3 linked regions of the Drosophila melanogaster genome follow. The protein of the gene in region 2 interacts with the protein of the main gene of each other region in a pairwise test. Each region holds a gene or a part of one and is shown on either strand. Other genes may lie near its edges. The genes, in order: wdn, ktub and stg1.

Region 1 (5,047 bases), on a different chromosome or scaffold from region 2:
TCTTTCGCTCCTTTTCCTTATCCTTATTATTATCTTTGTCCTTATCCTTCTCCTTATCTTTATCGCGCTCCTTTTCCTTCTTTTTCTCCTTGGGCTCCGATTCTGTGGGTTTAAATATTGTGAGTCAAGCTCTACCAACTAATTAGTCATTGGAAGATTAACAATTACCTTCGACCTTGAGTTTTTTCTCTGAGGGCTGTGCGTCGTTGCTCTCAGATGTGGGACTGCCCGGATTATATTGCTCGGAGGATTTATCCTTTGTGCTTGATTCATGACTGCTTGCATCCTTATCTTCGGTGCTCTTAACGCTTTCGTTTTCCGCCTTGCGCTTCAAAGGTGCCTTGGGCTCAGTGGCGGTGTTATTGTTATTACTGGCGGGCAGTTCATCCTCCGAGATTACTTCAGCATCCTCTGGCAATTCAGCCCGCTGCGGTGCTGGAAGCTCTTCATCGGAAACTTCCTCGGCATCATTTATTTCAGGCTTGCTGGGCAGAGGTAGCTCATCCTCGGAGACTATCTCTGTGTTGACAATGGTTGCATTGCTGGTGTCCGCATCGGCCAGATCCTCGGCAATGGCATGTTGTGAGCTGGAGTCCTCAGAGGAATTCATTTTCTCCATCTGCGGCTGCAGGGAGTCTACATTGTACTCAAAGTCCGCCTTCTTGACATTGTCACTCTCGTCATTTCCACCCACGGAGGGCAGGCTGTTGGCATTATCGCCGGCTAAAGAAGCCAGTAGGGTGTCCACGCCAGCCTGACCGCGTGTCTCTTTAATATCATCACTAGTCTCTGAATGCAGCTCCGCCACCGTGCCAAACGGGAAGGAAGAGCTCTTTTCATCAACCCCAGCAGCTTCGGCTGGCAGCATTTCCACGTCATCCTCTATCTGGTGCTGAGTCTCCTCGAATTGGGGCTCCAAAGCAGGTGCCTCCGCAGTGTTTGTCCCTCTAAAGGGCTCCTCCTCTTCCTGAACCATGACCACTTGCTCTTCGGCCTCCTCTTCGTGGTCACTTAGCTGAAAGGATTAAAAGTCGTTAATGAAGGTTCCCGGCATTTCTCAGAGCATTTGTGGATGCTGTGCCTTCAGTTGGCCCTTGCAGGTAATCACTCGCTCCTCCAGGGAGAAGAATCATGTGCGGATGGAACAACGCCACACCCACACTGGAAATTGCAATCGTTTACATCATTGGCTGATGATCTGGAAGAGGCGGTAACTACGTGGGATGAACTGACCTGTACGTTCCGCTTGGATGTGCGCCGGGTGCTTCTGGTTGGCAGCGATGCAGCCGGGGATGCGGCCTTCCGACCAGAACGTGTGCGGCGACCTGGAAAACGTCAATTAACTTTCTTGGTTAATCCATGCGGTTTACATAAACTGTACGCGCGGTGTTGTGGGTTGTTCGCTGCCTCGTGATGTTCACTTTTTTCCAAATGCTTTAATGGGCTGCTCCAGCTAACTGTCAGTGTCAGCTACCGAAATGGGCTAGTAAGGACTGAATTTTTAATCAACGGTCACTAGGTCCGGTCGAAGGAATGCACGTATTTGTAATTTTTCATCAATTTACCTGGACTTTCCATAACAACGTTTTCGCCCTCTGACGCCATATTAACATTGCAACGTGGTATCGATATACATGTCCCGCCAATATCGATATCTCTTTGTTTGGTCAAGACTGACGACTGACTCATAGCTATATTTTGAATATTTTTCAGAGGTTTTTCGAATTTCGATATTTATCATTTTTTAGCATTGATGAATGAATTATATACAATCTATCAAAAAATATAATTTAATAACGAAAATAGCCTAAGTGCTCAGTGTTTTTCCAGTTCGGCGAACTAGTTCATTTTTTGGCGTGCGCATGCAGAACCTATCTCAACATACAAATTCTAGCAGAAATTACATGTTCCAGCTAGAAATATAATTTAAATATTTTATGGTAAGAGGACTTTAAATATCACCATAAATAATTCTTAATGAAAGAAGATAAAATTTGTTTAATGTTACACATATTATAAATTAGTGGGTTATTAAGTTAACATAAAAAACATAAACAAATAACACAATCATTGGGCCTACTTCCTTTAATATTTAGGGTTTGAATGTTCAATGCATAGGATTTTAAAAGCCCAAAAAATTGTTATAGTTTCTATACAACATAATCGTGAATTATATCAAGTAAATACAAACATGTAAATGGAATTGGTAAGTAAAATGTTTCCTTGTCGGACAAGATTTCTTTTTGAGTCAAGAAATCTCTTTAAATGTTATTTAGAATGGTGAATCCAGTCGTGAATTAAATATAGCTAATAACCCGCCTGGCGAGCATCACTCTTAGCGGGACTGCCACTCGTGCGCGTCTTCTAACACTGTTCTCAAAATGGCGACTCGAGAATTGTAAGCGTGACAAAAACAACAAAGCCAAGGCGCATTTCACAATAATTAAATGTTTTTCGATCAATTGCGGCGCGTTTAATACAACGAAAGCGATCGCGATGAGTGAATTGGGGACCCAGTGACCGGGCAACGGCGACCAGTGAACGCAAAGCGTCAGCGGCGCGGCGAACAAAGACAAAATACGGCGAGCGAAAACGCCGACCGCATAACCTGTACGTGTAAGCAAGGCAAGGCGAATGGAAGGCGGCAAGGGCGAGGGCAAGAGAATGAAAGAGGAGGCGCCAAGCAAGAAGTTGCCGCCTAAAATCTACGGCGGCGATGCGGGCACCCCCACGAAGGCGGCCCACGACGAGATACTCAGCTCTCTGCTGCGGATCAACAACTTCGACTCGATATCGAGCATCAAGGACGAGTCGCTGGACATCGATCTGTCGGCGTGCGTGACCATCAGCTCCGCCAGCCTGGTCAATGGTAACAGTCTCTCCTCCACCGACTTTTGGCGCGTTTTGGACGAGAGTGCCCAGAACAACACCGAGCTGAATCTATCCTCGGACGTCTGCCGCGATGACTTGGCTGCCACCAGCTCGTCAACCGTGCCCAGCACTCTGACCAGTGATAACCACTCCAGCTCGGAGTTTAGTGTGACTTTCCTGCGGCCCGAGCCCCCGAATGCTTTCACTAATTCCCCGTTTAAGAAGACTTCGTCCAGCGGCACCTCCACACCCGTAAAGCTATCGCCCGAGCAGCTCCACCAGCAGCATCAGCTCCAAATGCCCCAGTCTCAGCTGCTGCAACGCAAGCCAAAGCTGCCGGCGGCGACGGCGGTGCGTCTGAAGGTCTTTAAGGAGGAGCCGCCCGAGGAGAAGCATCCGCCGGAGCAAGTGGTCACCAAGGTAGAGGTGTGCGAGTCTGAGCTGCTGCCGCCATCGTTTACCATATTCCAGCAGGCCAAATCGGCTGAATCGGTGGCGGATGCGGCTAGCATGCCGCCTCCGGCTGCTTCGGAAACGAAGCCGTTGGAGGTGGACCCGGCACCTCTACACAAGTGTCTCGACTGCAACGGACTGCTGCTGGAGACGCCCGATGAGGTGGCCAAGCATGAGGCGGCCGCTCACAGGCTGAGGCTCACCTATCGTTGCAGCGAGTGCCAGCGGGAATTCGAGTTGTTGGCTGGTTTGAAGAAGCACCTAAAGACGCACCGCACCGAGGGCCGCAAGGACACCTGGAAGAAGTGTCCTGACTGCGGCAAGTGGTAAGTGTTACTGCAAACTAAAAATAGTTATTCCTATTGACCATTTTACTCTAACTTTAGCCTCAAATTGGGAAGCATGTGGATGCATCGGAAGATTCACAGCGATAACAAGAAGTACCAGTGCGACATCTGCGGCCAAAAGTTTGTGCAAAAAATAAACCTCACGCACCACGCACGGATTCACTCATCGGAGAAGCCGTACGAGTGTCCCGAGTGTCAGAAGCGATTCCAGGAGCGCTCACATCTGCAGCGCCACCAGAAGTACCATGCGCAAACGCGTTCCTATCGTTGCGAAAAGTGCGGCAAGATGTACAAAACGGAGCGCTGTCTCAAGGTCCACAACTTGGTGCATCTTGAGCAGCGACCATTCGCGTGCACAGTGTGCGACAAGAGCTTCATCAGCAATTCGAAGCTTAAGCAGCACTCCAACATACACACAGGAATGCGCCCGTTCAAATGCAATTATTGTCCGCGAGACTTCACCAACTTCCCCAATTGGTTGAAGCACACGAGACGCCGACACAAGGTGGACCACAAAACGGGCGAACACCTCGAGAACATTCCCTCCTACTGCTCTAAAAAGTCCACTACAAACAAGGCCCAAAAGGCAGCCGCGGCAGCAGCAGCAGCGGCGGCAGCATCTTCAGCTGTGAATCCCAACGAACTCTCCGCTTCTAGTGAACTTAAAGCCAAGGCTAATCTTACGTCTACTGCTGCACCGGCTCCTGCAAAACAAGCGCGGAAAAAGAAGCAGCCGCAGCAGGCCACTCTTGCTGCATTGGGAATAACTCTACCTGCCGGTACTGCTCTGCAGCAAGTGCATCCTGTGCCGCTGGCGCAACAGCATCAGCAGGAACTTACCACTGTGCTGGTGCCGCTGGCCCCGCCGGCTCCTAAGCAGACCAAAGCCAAGCGAGAACGAAAGCAGCTAGCACCGAAGCAACTGCAGCAAAAACCGCAGCTGCTGCAACAGGGCCAACCCCAGCAGTCCAGCTTAGAGCCCATTCCTGCTGTGCCGCAAATCAAGAAGGAGCCAGTGCAGACTCAGGGTCCGTTCCTTGACTTACACGGTCTTAGTCTGACTTCAGCCGAAGAGCTGATCATGGAGCAGGCCCTGGAGATGGAGGAGTGCGGTCTGTACGATGCTCCTAATGCAAACACTGAAATGGGGACGTCGGACAACGCCATTTCCGATTCGGCCGCTGCCCTGCACTTCCAGATAAAGAATGAATTACCGGACGAGCTGTTGCCAGACGATGACTTCTGTAAGTTTCTAATGAAAATGTCCTGTTTTATGAATTGATTTACCTAGTTATTCGTATAAAATAGTATTCCTTTTAAAAACTTTATATTAATTTAAAATTTTATATTTGTAGTGCCTTGTAAGCCCAGCGACC
Region 2 (5,047 bases):
GGCTATGCTTCTGGGATTCGGAGGACTCCTGTTCCGGTACACGGAAGGAGCAGCGGAGAATATATACAAGTGCGAGGTGCGCAAGGTGAAGCGGGATTTCATAGACCGACTGTGGGACGTCAGCCACAACATGAGGTAGTACCAATGGTGCCAAGTGGTAGCCCAGTTCTGTGAGTGATTCATTTGTATCTTTGCCAGAGAGGAGGACTGGAAGTCTCTTGCCCGCCAGAAGCTGCGCAGCTTCGAGGATGAACTAAATAATTTAGCCGAGTTGGGACTACGCCGCTATCCGGGCCAAAAGTCCTGGAACTTTGTCAATTGCTTCATCTTCTGTTGGACCGTGATCACAACTATAGGTAATGGGTTACAATGGACCCATAACCATCCAAAACTCCTAAATCCTTTCGTTAGTTCTTATATATGAGCATATTTCCATTTTAGGTTCTTTTTTTAGTTAGTCATATTTAACTTATTAACTCCCATGCCTTCTTCTCTTCCTTTCCAGGTTACGGCCACATCACTCCAAAGACGGGCATGGGTCGATCCCTGACCATCGTCTATGCCATCATCGGCATCCCCATGTTCCTGATCGTGCTGGCCGATCTGGGCAAGTTATTCACGCGCTGCGTCAAGTTCCTGTGGGTGTATGTGCGACGGATGTACTACACGCGCTCCTGCCGCCGGATACGAAAGCAGCAGCAGATCCGGAGCGCCATGACAGGCTTCAATACGATGTACGACATGGCCATCCGCAGGCCGAGCATGTTCTTCAGCAACTCTGCGCCAGAGAACGATGAGGAGTCGCAGGCGGATGCCGAGGCCGCAAGATCGGTGGGCACCTCGCACCCGGAGACACCCACATCACCCTATCCAGAGACCTTCGAGGTGGACGACGAGTTCAATTTGCCAGTGTCGGTGGCCTCGCTGCTGCTCATTACGTACATCCTCCTAGGATCCTTCGGCTTTCTAATGATGGAGCCCAGCTGGACTCCACTGGATGCCTTCTACTACGTGTTCATCTCGATGTCCACAATTGGGTTCGGCGACCTGGTGCCCAGTAATCCCTTCTACGTAATGGTCAGCATGATCTATCTGATGTTCGGCTTGGCCCTGACCTCCATGTTCATCAATGTGGTGCAGATCAAGCTGAGCGATCACTTCAAAATGGCCAGCGCCAAAGTGGGCGCCACCATTGGCATGAACATGACCAGCGAGCTTGGTGATGAGGGCGGCTCCCAGGTGAAGACTCCCTCCGAGCTTGCCTCGGTGCACGGTTCGCGACTGGACAGGATCGAGGAGGATGGCCAGGAGGCGAATGGCAATGGCCACTCCCCGGTGCCACCACTCACCTCGATCCTGCGCGCACCGCGTCCTCTATCGCCGGCGTCCAATGGAGTGGATGCTAATGGAGTTGGAGCCGATGCTGTTGGAGCTGGGGATGTTACTCCGCCACCTCTGCTGCCCAGGCGTCAGGTTTCCGTGGATCCCCAGCCGCCGGCGGAGGGGGAGAACAAGAAGAAGAAAAAGCACAGGTTTTTCTAGAATCCCTGGGATCTTCCGCCTCCAAACAAAAAAAAAACCGACAAAGTTAACGTGTAAGAAACCTCAAAAATGACAAGGCAATTTCAATCGAATTTACCGTAACGCGAAACTCTATATTCATTTATTTGTTATTTAATTTTACTCACCATCATCGTAGCATAAGTCTAATGTTAATGAAATAAAGCGCGCGAGTTGACAACGCAAATTGATGTTTTTAATTGTTGTAAATTCCGCTTAAGGATCATAATCATAAAGTTGTATAATTTTTCAACACTCTATTATCCTGTTATCAGCGTGGTTTTTTGCTCAATCCGGAATCGAATTGCCAGATGCGTATGCTTTGTACGGGAATGCATCCCAAAATCCCAGTAACAGGGAGTCGGGGGCGCGAATCCAAATGCAGTCGCAGTCGGCAGCTGCACATCTGTCGCTCGTAGGAAATGGAAGAGGAAGCAGCCACAGGAGGCGTTGTGCGGAGAGAGAGAGAGAGAGGGAGAGAGGGAGAGACCCATTCCCATTGAGAGCGAGTTGTGGTTCTCTCTGCCTCTCTTTCGCTGACACACGACAGGATGGCATGCTTCGCACTCCTGCTTCGGCTGGCATTCGTGTGCATGTTCCGTTTCCATTCCGTTCCGCTACGAGCACTTCGCCTGAGTTGACGGCTTCTGTTGGACGCCCAGTTGTTGTTTTGGCAGCGTGCGGTTCGGTCGACGGGTTACATCGCCTTCTCTCCTCTACCAAAATAAAGAGGCGCCAAATTCAATCAATTGGACAATATCACACGCAACTCAACGGGCACGAAAGTGTTTGTCAAACAACATAGATTGTATAACATTATAAATATATGCATATTCAGGCGGTACTCGCTCAGTGGCTAAAGCAAACATTCAGTGCCAGCGATCCGGAGAATTCCGATCGATCGCGTCGGTACAAAAAAAATTGAGCGAGAACAGGAAGAGCCGGCTGTTGGCTTCAGTCTACAAATCCTCACCCTCGTGAACACCCCTTGATTTTTTTGTTGTCGCGTGTGCTGCCGTACTACACTACCACAAACTACAAAATATATACCATACCATACAAACTGACGCCAGGTGTGCTAAATTCATAGATTCTTCTTCAATTATTTTGGTGCCCCATCGGTTTTTGTTTTGCTGCATTCATTCGCATTCGAAAAGTCGCTCTTCAACGCAAATCCCAAAACAGCTGTCACTCCCGAATATTTGCCAAATGCCTCTTCATCGGATCATCTGAATCGCGCGTAGTTAAGTGAAAATCGTCAGAGGATTTTGATTGCCTTCTGAAATCTACAGCCATAACTGCAAAAATGTCCGGAATCAACAGTCGTAATCAGAAAATGGAACAGCAGGTAAACCCAACACTCCAATTTGGCAGATCTTTTCTAGATTTTACCAAACCTATAATCTTTGATAATGTAATCTCTGAAATTTGAATTTCTTTAAATGTGTCATTCATATCCATTGTGTTTGATAATCTTCATAAAGTGGACACATTAAACCAACGATCCTATATTATAACAAAACCAATCTATACATACGACAGCGAAATTTATGAACAATTTAATGGCTACTTGTATTAAACTTTTGCTTTAGCTAAGAATTCTTTAAGAACTTTTTTTCAATTGACCATGAATCAAGGCAAGTTAGCACTGGCCTTTTAACTCTTCCAGCCCGACGGTTCGTGAATGTGGTCTAGAAACAAGAAAATCCACTCCTTTCTTGGAAAACTCGGGCAGCCCATAGCAATCAGCGCCAGCAGAAAAGGGGCCATCAGCCGGCATTACACGGAATTGTTCACTTTTTGGCCTCAAAGTTGACCGCTCTAAATGTGCCACCCCTTAAAGGCAACAAAAAAAAAAGGAAAATGAAACACCCAAGTGGCTTAACGCCTTCTCCAAGTGGTTTTGTTGTGCCCGTTTGCTCGTGGCCAGGTGTTCGTCCGTTGTCCTGGCAACGGCGTCCAAATAAATCGAAACGAAGCTCCTGGTGGTGGTGCAGTTGCTGCAGTCCGATTCGATTGTCATTGGCCCTAATTATGTTGAGTGGCACGGAACCAAAAGGCACCCTACTCCACCCACTGGCTCATAAATCGAATCACTTCGATGTGGTTGAGTTGGGCTGCCAAGTGTGGGAGGTCCTGGGTCCTTCGAGTTACTTCGATTTCGTGCCGCTATGGCTTATAAAACATTGAGCAGCTATTGACAGCTTCTTCGAATGGGAGGACATTTTGAAAACATTATGCCAAGTCATTTCAGCTACAAATGAAATAGCTTGAAAGAAATCGAAAATAAGTGGAAGCCATGGGAGCGCATTTCATTTTGATTGAATTTTAATTTTAATTATAAATTCACATTGAATCATCTCACAAATTCCCATGAATTAACACATTTCGTGATTACCATTTTAAAGCAGCTTGTTTGAATAATGTTTGCTTTATCACATTCATTTTCAAATGCGAGTATAAATATGATAAATATTCACTTGCTGAGTCAAGCTAATTTTCTTTGAACGTGTTAGCATAGAACATTAATCCTTCCGAACAATCGTTTTGGGTCATTTTCTCGAGCTTAAGCCAACACAAAGTTATATCCGCCATAAAAAAGAGAATGTGGCACAAAAAAACGGAGTCAATTTGCACTTGGCATAAATCAACAGAAAGATATATGGCAGTCAACTCATAAAGTGGTCGCTAAATATACACAAAGGATTAATAAAGTCTTCGGCCTGGACGCCAGCTAACCCACAATGTAGTATCCTTTCTTTGATTGGTGTCCTGCGTCACTATGGGCAACTACCCACACACACACACACACAGATATGTCCAGGCAGACAGGATTCTATAGTATCCCCATAGGAACACAGACAGACAGCGCAACTAGAAATATACACAATACCATTCGTTGGCATTGTTTTCGTATTGCCATCACCCATGGAATACCATTAAGCGAGGCCACAAAATCGATTCCCGCCTGGTGACGAGTCCTTCAGCTTCGCGAGGAACTGAGCCGCAGGATAATGCCCAGCAATAAGTCACACAATTGTTCACTACTTCCACATATGAATATAATATTTGCTTTCCGCAAATCGCTCAAGCTTTTCCTCACGCAAGTCGTAAAAAGAAACATTTCGGCCAAAAAAAAAGGATGTGACGCACCGACTTTTTCTAATAAGTTACTTGCGTAGATTAGGGTGAACCTTTAAAGCTTGAGAAGTGATTAAAAAATATGATTTGACTAGAGTAGAGCTCAAGCAGAAAAGAGACCCGCCATCTAACTGACCATATATAACTTTCTTTTGATCAAATGAACAAAGTTTATTCGGTGTACTTCCAACTGCTGTTTTTAGCATTAAGAAAAAGGTCCACCCTAATATGTATATTAGCCTAACTTCACTTAGCTTTACGGCTTTTGCCCTTTGTTTCGAGCCTGTAATTTTCGTTCTGTTGCTTCAAATACGAGGTTCTTGACCCAACGAGAGGAAAAGCCGGC
Region 3 (5,047 bases), on a different chromosome or scaffold from region 2:
GCGATTTTGCAATGTTGTAAGTGCTGCATTTGCTTGATGCGAGGTTTGAAAACACTTGTTTTTTCCAGTTTTATAATTTTTGATTTTCTTGATGTTTAAGGGAAAGAATTTAAAAATTACTGACGCACGAAAGGATGCAAATTCTTATGGTGTTATGTGTGTTCTTTTTGTAAGTGTGTACAAATTGTATTTGTCCCTAAGTTATTCAATTTATTTATGTAACCCAGCTTATGAAGGACATCCCAACAAAAAAAGATCCTTCTCGAGCATTTCTTGTTTTCTCTAGACATGGGAAAAATTGCTGAAAAAAGTGCTGAAAAAATTAAGAAAGACAGCGGCAATATGAATGCATAAAAATGAATTAAATTAGCCACCCACGCACACATTAGCACTCTCGAAAACACACACTCACATACTCTCGAGCATTTGCATAACTCCAAGCAGGACTAGCAACGTGGACGCGTCTGTGTCTGTGTGCATTGGCAAACATTTGACAGTTGCAACAGCAACAAAATAACAACAAATTAATGCAACAAAATAAATAAAAGAGAAAAAAAAGACAAAGCAAACTGCCAAAAGGCACAACACAAACAAAAATGCAAACATTTTGTTAGTCCTCTCTTGTTAAAAAAAAGCAAAAAAAAAAAAACAAAAAAATGAGTAAATAAAGAAAACGAGAGACGAGAAAAGTGTTGCCAGCATTTGCAGCGCATTTAGATGAAAACTTTTGCGAAAGTTGCAAAAAAGTTACTCTATGTATTTAAATGCTGAAATAGAGAGGGTCGAGGGCTTAATTCGATGGCAAATTAAAGGCGCGTCCAGCAACTTGTTGGCATCAAAATAGCTAGCACATCCTTGTTTGCTGCCAGAATGAGATTTAATTAAGATTTTAATTAATTTGTTTGCTAGCCAAACAAAAATGGTGAGCAAATACTTGAGGCTATTTACTCACGGCCAATACTAGTATATTTAATTAAAGGTTTTTTGCGTTTGTTTTTTGCATTACCAGTTGAATTCTCTTTTGGCGCTCTTGTCTCTTCAATCTCTATTCACATCAAACACCTCCTGCCAGTTGGCTTAATTGCCTTTGTCCTTGGCTTTTGCGCTTTTTGATCAGGATAAGCACTCCGGCAATAATCGTCGGCTTTTGTTTTCCATTTGCCGGATTACATGCTGCTCCCACATGCATACTCTTCACTACAGTCCAATTCAATTTTGATGAAATACCCTTTCCATATCCTTGCATATGCACTAAGGTTTCGCTAAGGACTGCTGAAGAAAGAGCAGTGATGAGGAAGTGCACAGAAGAAGATTCTACAATTCTACAAATGCTTATTAAAGCTGTTAAACTAGATTTTTAGAAAAAACATACGATTTGCAATTGATAATTTTGTTATATGTTTATTAACCAGCAATACACGAATATTACCATTCGTGCCACTGTGTGAGCACAAACAAAAGCGACCCTTTTTTCTTCCAGTGTGGATTTGGCAGCTTAATCTTTGGGTTTTGTTCTGCACCATTCCTGGGCCTGCACTCAGCAATTCCACACTTTCACAAGGTGCACTTAACAAGGTGCTTTAGAGCAAAAACGAGTGTGAACGTGGGCTGGATTTTTGGGAGGGGGGGGGGGTGGGTGGCTTGGTATTTCGGTTGGCGTAGTGTGGGCGGACCATTGTTGGCCCTACCCTTTTAATGGGGCACAATCATGGCACGAACTTACCTCAATCGCATGTGGGAATTCAATTAAATAAACGAGAGTTGCAGCCAAAGAAGCCGGGGTTGCAATAAATGCTTAGATTTGCAGGCGAGTGCAACAACAACTCGGCAAACTATATCCCATATCCACACACACACACACACACACACACACAAGCGCATACACATACACATACACATACACTTGCACGCGCACAGACAGATAGTGGGGATCCCCAAGCGACCGGAAGTCACTTTTAGCTTACAACGGAAGTTGCAAACGTCTGCTGGTTGTTGTTATTACTACTCCTGGTTGCCGTTGGACTGCACAGCGAACAATGACCTATGTACAATCAAATGGAAAATATAATACTACTTAATTACAGTTAGAAAACATGTAGAAGAAGCGCTTTCGGCCCTATAAATGAACGTTGAGAACTCGTAAACTTTAAAACCTAAAGAATTTGTATTCAAAATGCGCGGTTAACTGACGAAACGATCCTCGACGACTCCGTGCGTAACGCTTACGATAAGGAATTACTCTTTTGAATTTGTATTAGTTATAAAAAAAACCCAATTGATTTTTATGAATTTTATTCATAATCTTATGCACAGTTATAGAAATCAAGGCTTTTCTTTCAGTGCACGCCTGTTGGCCACATAATGTGTGTAATTTTCGTATTCAGAATAATTGATACGAACTCTACAGGCCGCAGCTGAAACGCCTGATACCTGGGATTTTCCAGCTGTGCAAATGTAAAAGTTAATTTTCCATTGGTCATAGCCGCTATATTTAGGTCTGCCAAGGAAGCGGCGAATCATAGGATTGGTGATGGGTATCAGGCGTGGATTGCTGCTGGATGGAGACCATCAAAAGCGTAGATAAAATATGGCTCCTGTGTTTTATAATCGCCAGTGAGCAGCAGCAGCAGCAGCAGCAGAGGCAGCAAAATCATCATCCGCAGCAGCCGAAGTTATTCGTTTCGGTTCGTTTTACATGGCCGAGTCGAGTCCTTTGGCCAGGACCACAGCTTCCCTTAGTCGAGTGAAAGTTCTCCAGCGCAACGGACGTGCCCAGCCAGAAATTCGAAAACAAACCAACTTTTGGCGCGCTTTCAAAGTGTTGGATTTATTTTAGTTTTGTTTTGTTTTTTTTTTTTTTTGTTCGTTCTGGCTCAGTGCAGCTAGTGGAATATAAAATGAGGGATTATCCTTCGGTGCCCAATGTGTTTCGCGTGGCCTCCACGCACAGCATCAACAGCGAGAATCCGTACAATAACATTCGACCAGCGAATGTAATCTGCAACACCACCGAAAGGCCGCCGATTGCCATACACCAGCTGACCACTAGTGCATCCATCGAGCACAGCCACCCATCGCAGCAGGCGCAGCACCAGCAGCAACAGTTGCTGCACCACCAGCAGCAGCACCACCACCAGCAACACTCGCCCTATGCAACATTGCCGCGGGGCCAGCGACTCGCGCCGCAGCAGCATCAGCAAGCCGGTGTAATCAACACGATCTCTGGCAGCATTCCGGCCACGGGATTTAGTTCCCTGGCCGGCAGCTTTAGTGATCTTCAGTTGAACAACATCGGTAATCACAGCAGCAACAGCAGAAGCAATCACAACAGCATCAGCAACAACCGACGACAGCAGCAGCAGCAGCAGCAGCAGCAGCAGCAGCGACTGGTCCCTCATTTGAGTCGCCACCAGCCAGCCATAGAGGTGCAGCAGACGCAGCAACATCAACAGACGCAGCAGCAACATGTCCAGCGGCAGCAGCAGCAAGAGCGCCTGGCCAGCGGCGGTGCTGGTGCTACCGATCCGCAGGGAGGCATCAGCAACATGACCACCGTCAACGGGGGTTACCTGTGGCTCATCACACCTGTTGCAGCCAGGTTAGTATGCGATCATAGATCAATCATGAATACATTAGTTTGAGGAAACGAATATGAGGCAAATATGAATTTAAAAAAGCGATGGACTGTACTAATCACTGTAGTTCGGAATATCCTTCAATTTGAAATTATTGTTAATTGTACTCGCCTATTTAAAATTGGAAATTATGTTCCACAAAATGTCTTATCTCTTTTTAATACTAAATTGTTTATACACCATACTAGTACTAGGCAAACGTAAAATAATCCACTTATGAAGGTTTTTAATTATAATTTGCTTGCCTTAAAACCTGAGTTTGAGTCTGCGGTTGGCAACTTTAACGTTTCTCCATGATTTTACTATGCCCCAAATGAACAAAGTGGGAAACCAAGTTATATTTGTACTCATTTCTTTAGGTTTGAGGCTGGTTCCAGTTAATATACTTGACTACTACCTCGATATGTAGATGCTCCTTTTTTTTATTAAGCGACGACTTTGAGTACTACTTTAAGCTTCAAGGTAGCAAGGTCTCAGATTTTTCGCAAAGGGAAATACTCAAAATTCCTTCAGAGAAGGAACTAAATAGTCGAATCCTTTAAACGGATGGCGAAACAGCCTGCTGAATGCCAGCAGCTTGAATTCCTACAGAGGACGCACACACACAATTTCCGCCCATTCTATACATTTTTAAAGAAACTGAGGAAACTGGTTTCACGTGCTTCGCAGCTGGCAAATGGCAGCTCGTCCTTGTTACAGGAGCCACCAGGACATCCAGACCTCCATGCGGCTCCTTCATCCTTGTAGCTTGACAAATAATTGTGTTAGCGACACAAATCACTGCAAAGTGGATTTAATTTGTTCGCAAACTATTTCGCACAAAAGTACACAAAACAAAAATCTAGATTTTTACCATTATGACATTCTTTATTTCGTATTAAGTAAATTAATGGTAAATTAAAGGTAAATTAATGCTAAATTAATGCTAAATTAATGGTAAATTAATGTTAAATTAATGCTTCGCTGTATACAAACAGATTCATTCCGGCTTTGGTTTTTTGCCAAGTTGCTGCAATTCATTTGGCTTAGTTATTTTAAACTTGTGTAAGTTTCGCTCACAGGGATTCACGGAGTGCATGCGCATAAAGCCTGATGTGCGAAAGACCTGGCCACACTTGCTGCAGTTGTGTGGCCAATTGTGGTGACCAGTCTCGCGTTGGTGCTTGTACATGGCCCGACTGAAAAGATAGAAGAATGAGCGATATTAATGAAACGTACATATTTCGGAACCCAAATACAGTACAGAACCCAAATATACAGTTTCGAAAAAATCAATAGCACCACCATAGCGTATCATTTATTTTTGATCATTTGGGTATTTCCCCATCCGAATCTGAAAAGAATTTACATAATATTCGTATAAGGATATACTAGATTCGTTGAAAACTGTGTAACAGCTTTCCGACCATATT

The links.
Region 1: the proteins of ktub (region 2) and wdn interact in a two-hybrid assay, tested with the Drosophila melanogaster proteins (one large-scale study listed by BioGRID).
Region 3: the proteins of ktub (region 2) and stg1 interact in a two-hybrid assay, tested with the Drosophila melanogaster proteins (one large-scale study listed by BioGRID).

The regions. Positions count from the first base shown.
Region 1 is NT_033777.3:28,808,673-28,813,719, reverse strand, and holds the start of wdn (wings down), read left to right. Parts: upstream 1-2,382; 5' UTR 2,383-2,634; coding exon 2,635-3,650; intron 3,651-3,710; coding exon 3,711-4,915; intron 4,916-5,026; coding exon 5,027-5,047. Other genes in the region: Prp39 (pre-mRNA processing factor 39), read right to left, coding at 1-102, 169-1,015, 1,234-1,325, 1,566-1,605. UniProt on the Drosophila melanogaster protein: May belong to a complex set of multifingered proteins which play an important role in gene activation or regulation at early embryonic stages through a maximal accumulation of their transcripts (or protein product) in the mature oocyte.
Region 2 is NT_033778.4:21,099,710-21,104,756, forward strand, and holds the start of ktub (king tubby), read left to right. Parts: upstream 1-2,218; 5' UTR 2,219-2,866; coding exon 2,867-2,908; intron 2,909-5,047. Other genes in the region: CG34396 (uncharacterized protein), read left to right, coding at 1-135, 199-356, 506-1,542. UniProt on the Drosophila melanogaster protein: Functions in regulating protein trafficking, retinal maintenance and lipid storage. Protects photoreceptor cells R1 to R6 against light-induced retinal degeneration by stimulating norpA-mediated endocytosis of the rhodopsin ninaE (Rh1).
Region 3 is NC_004354.4:21,091,088-21,096,134, forward strand, and holds the start of stg1 (stargazin-like protein), read left to right. Parts: upstream 1-2,756; 5' UTR 2,757-2,897; coding exon 2,898-3,598; intron 3,599-4,592; exon of another isoform or gene 4,593-4,614; coding exon of another isoform or gene 4,615-4,813; intron 4,814-5,047.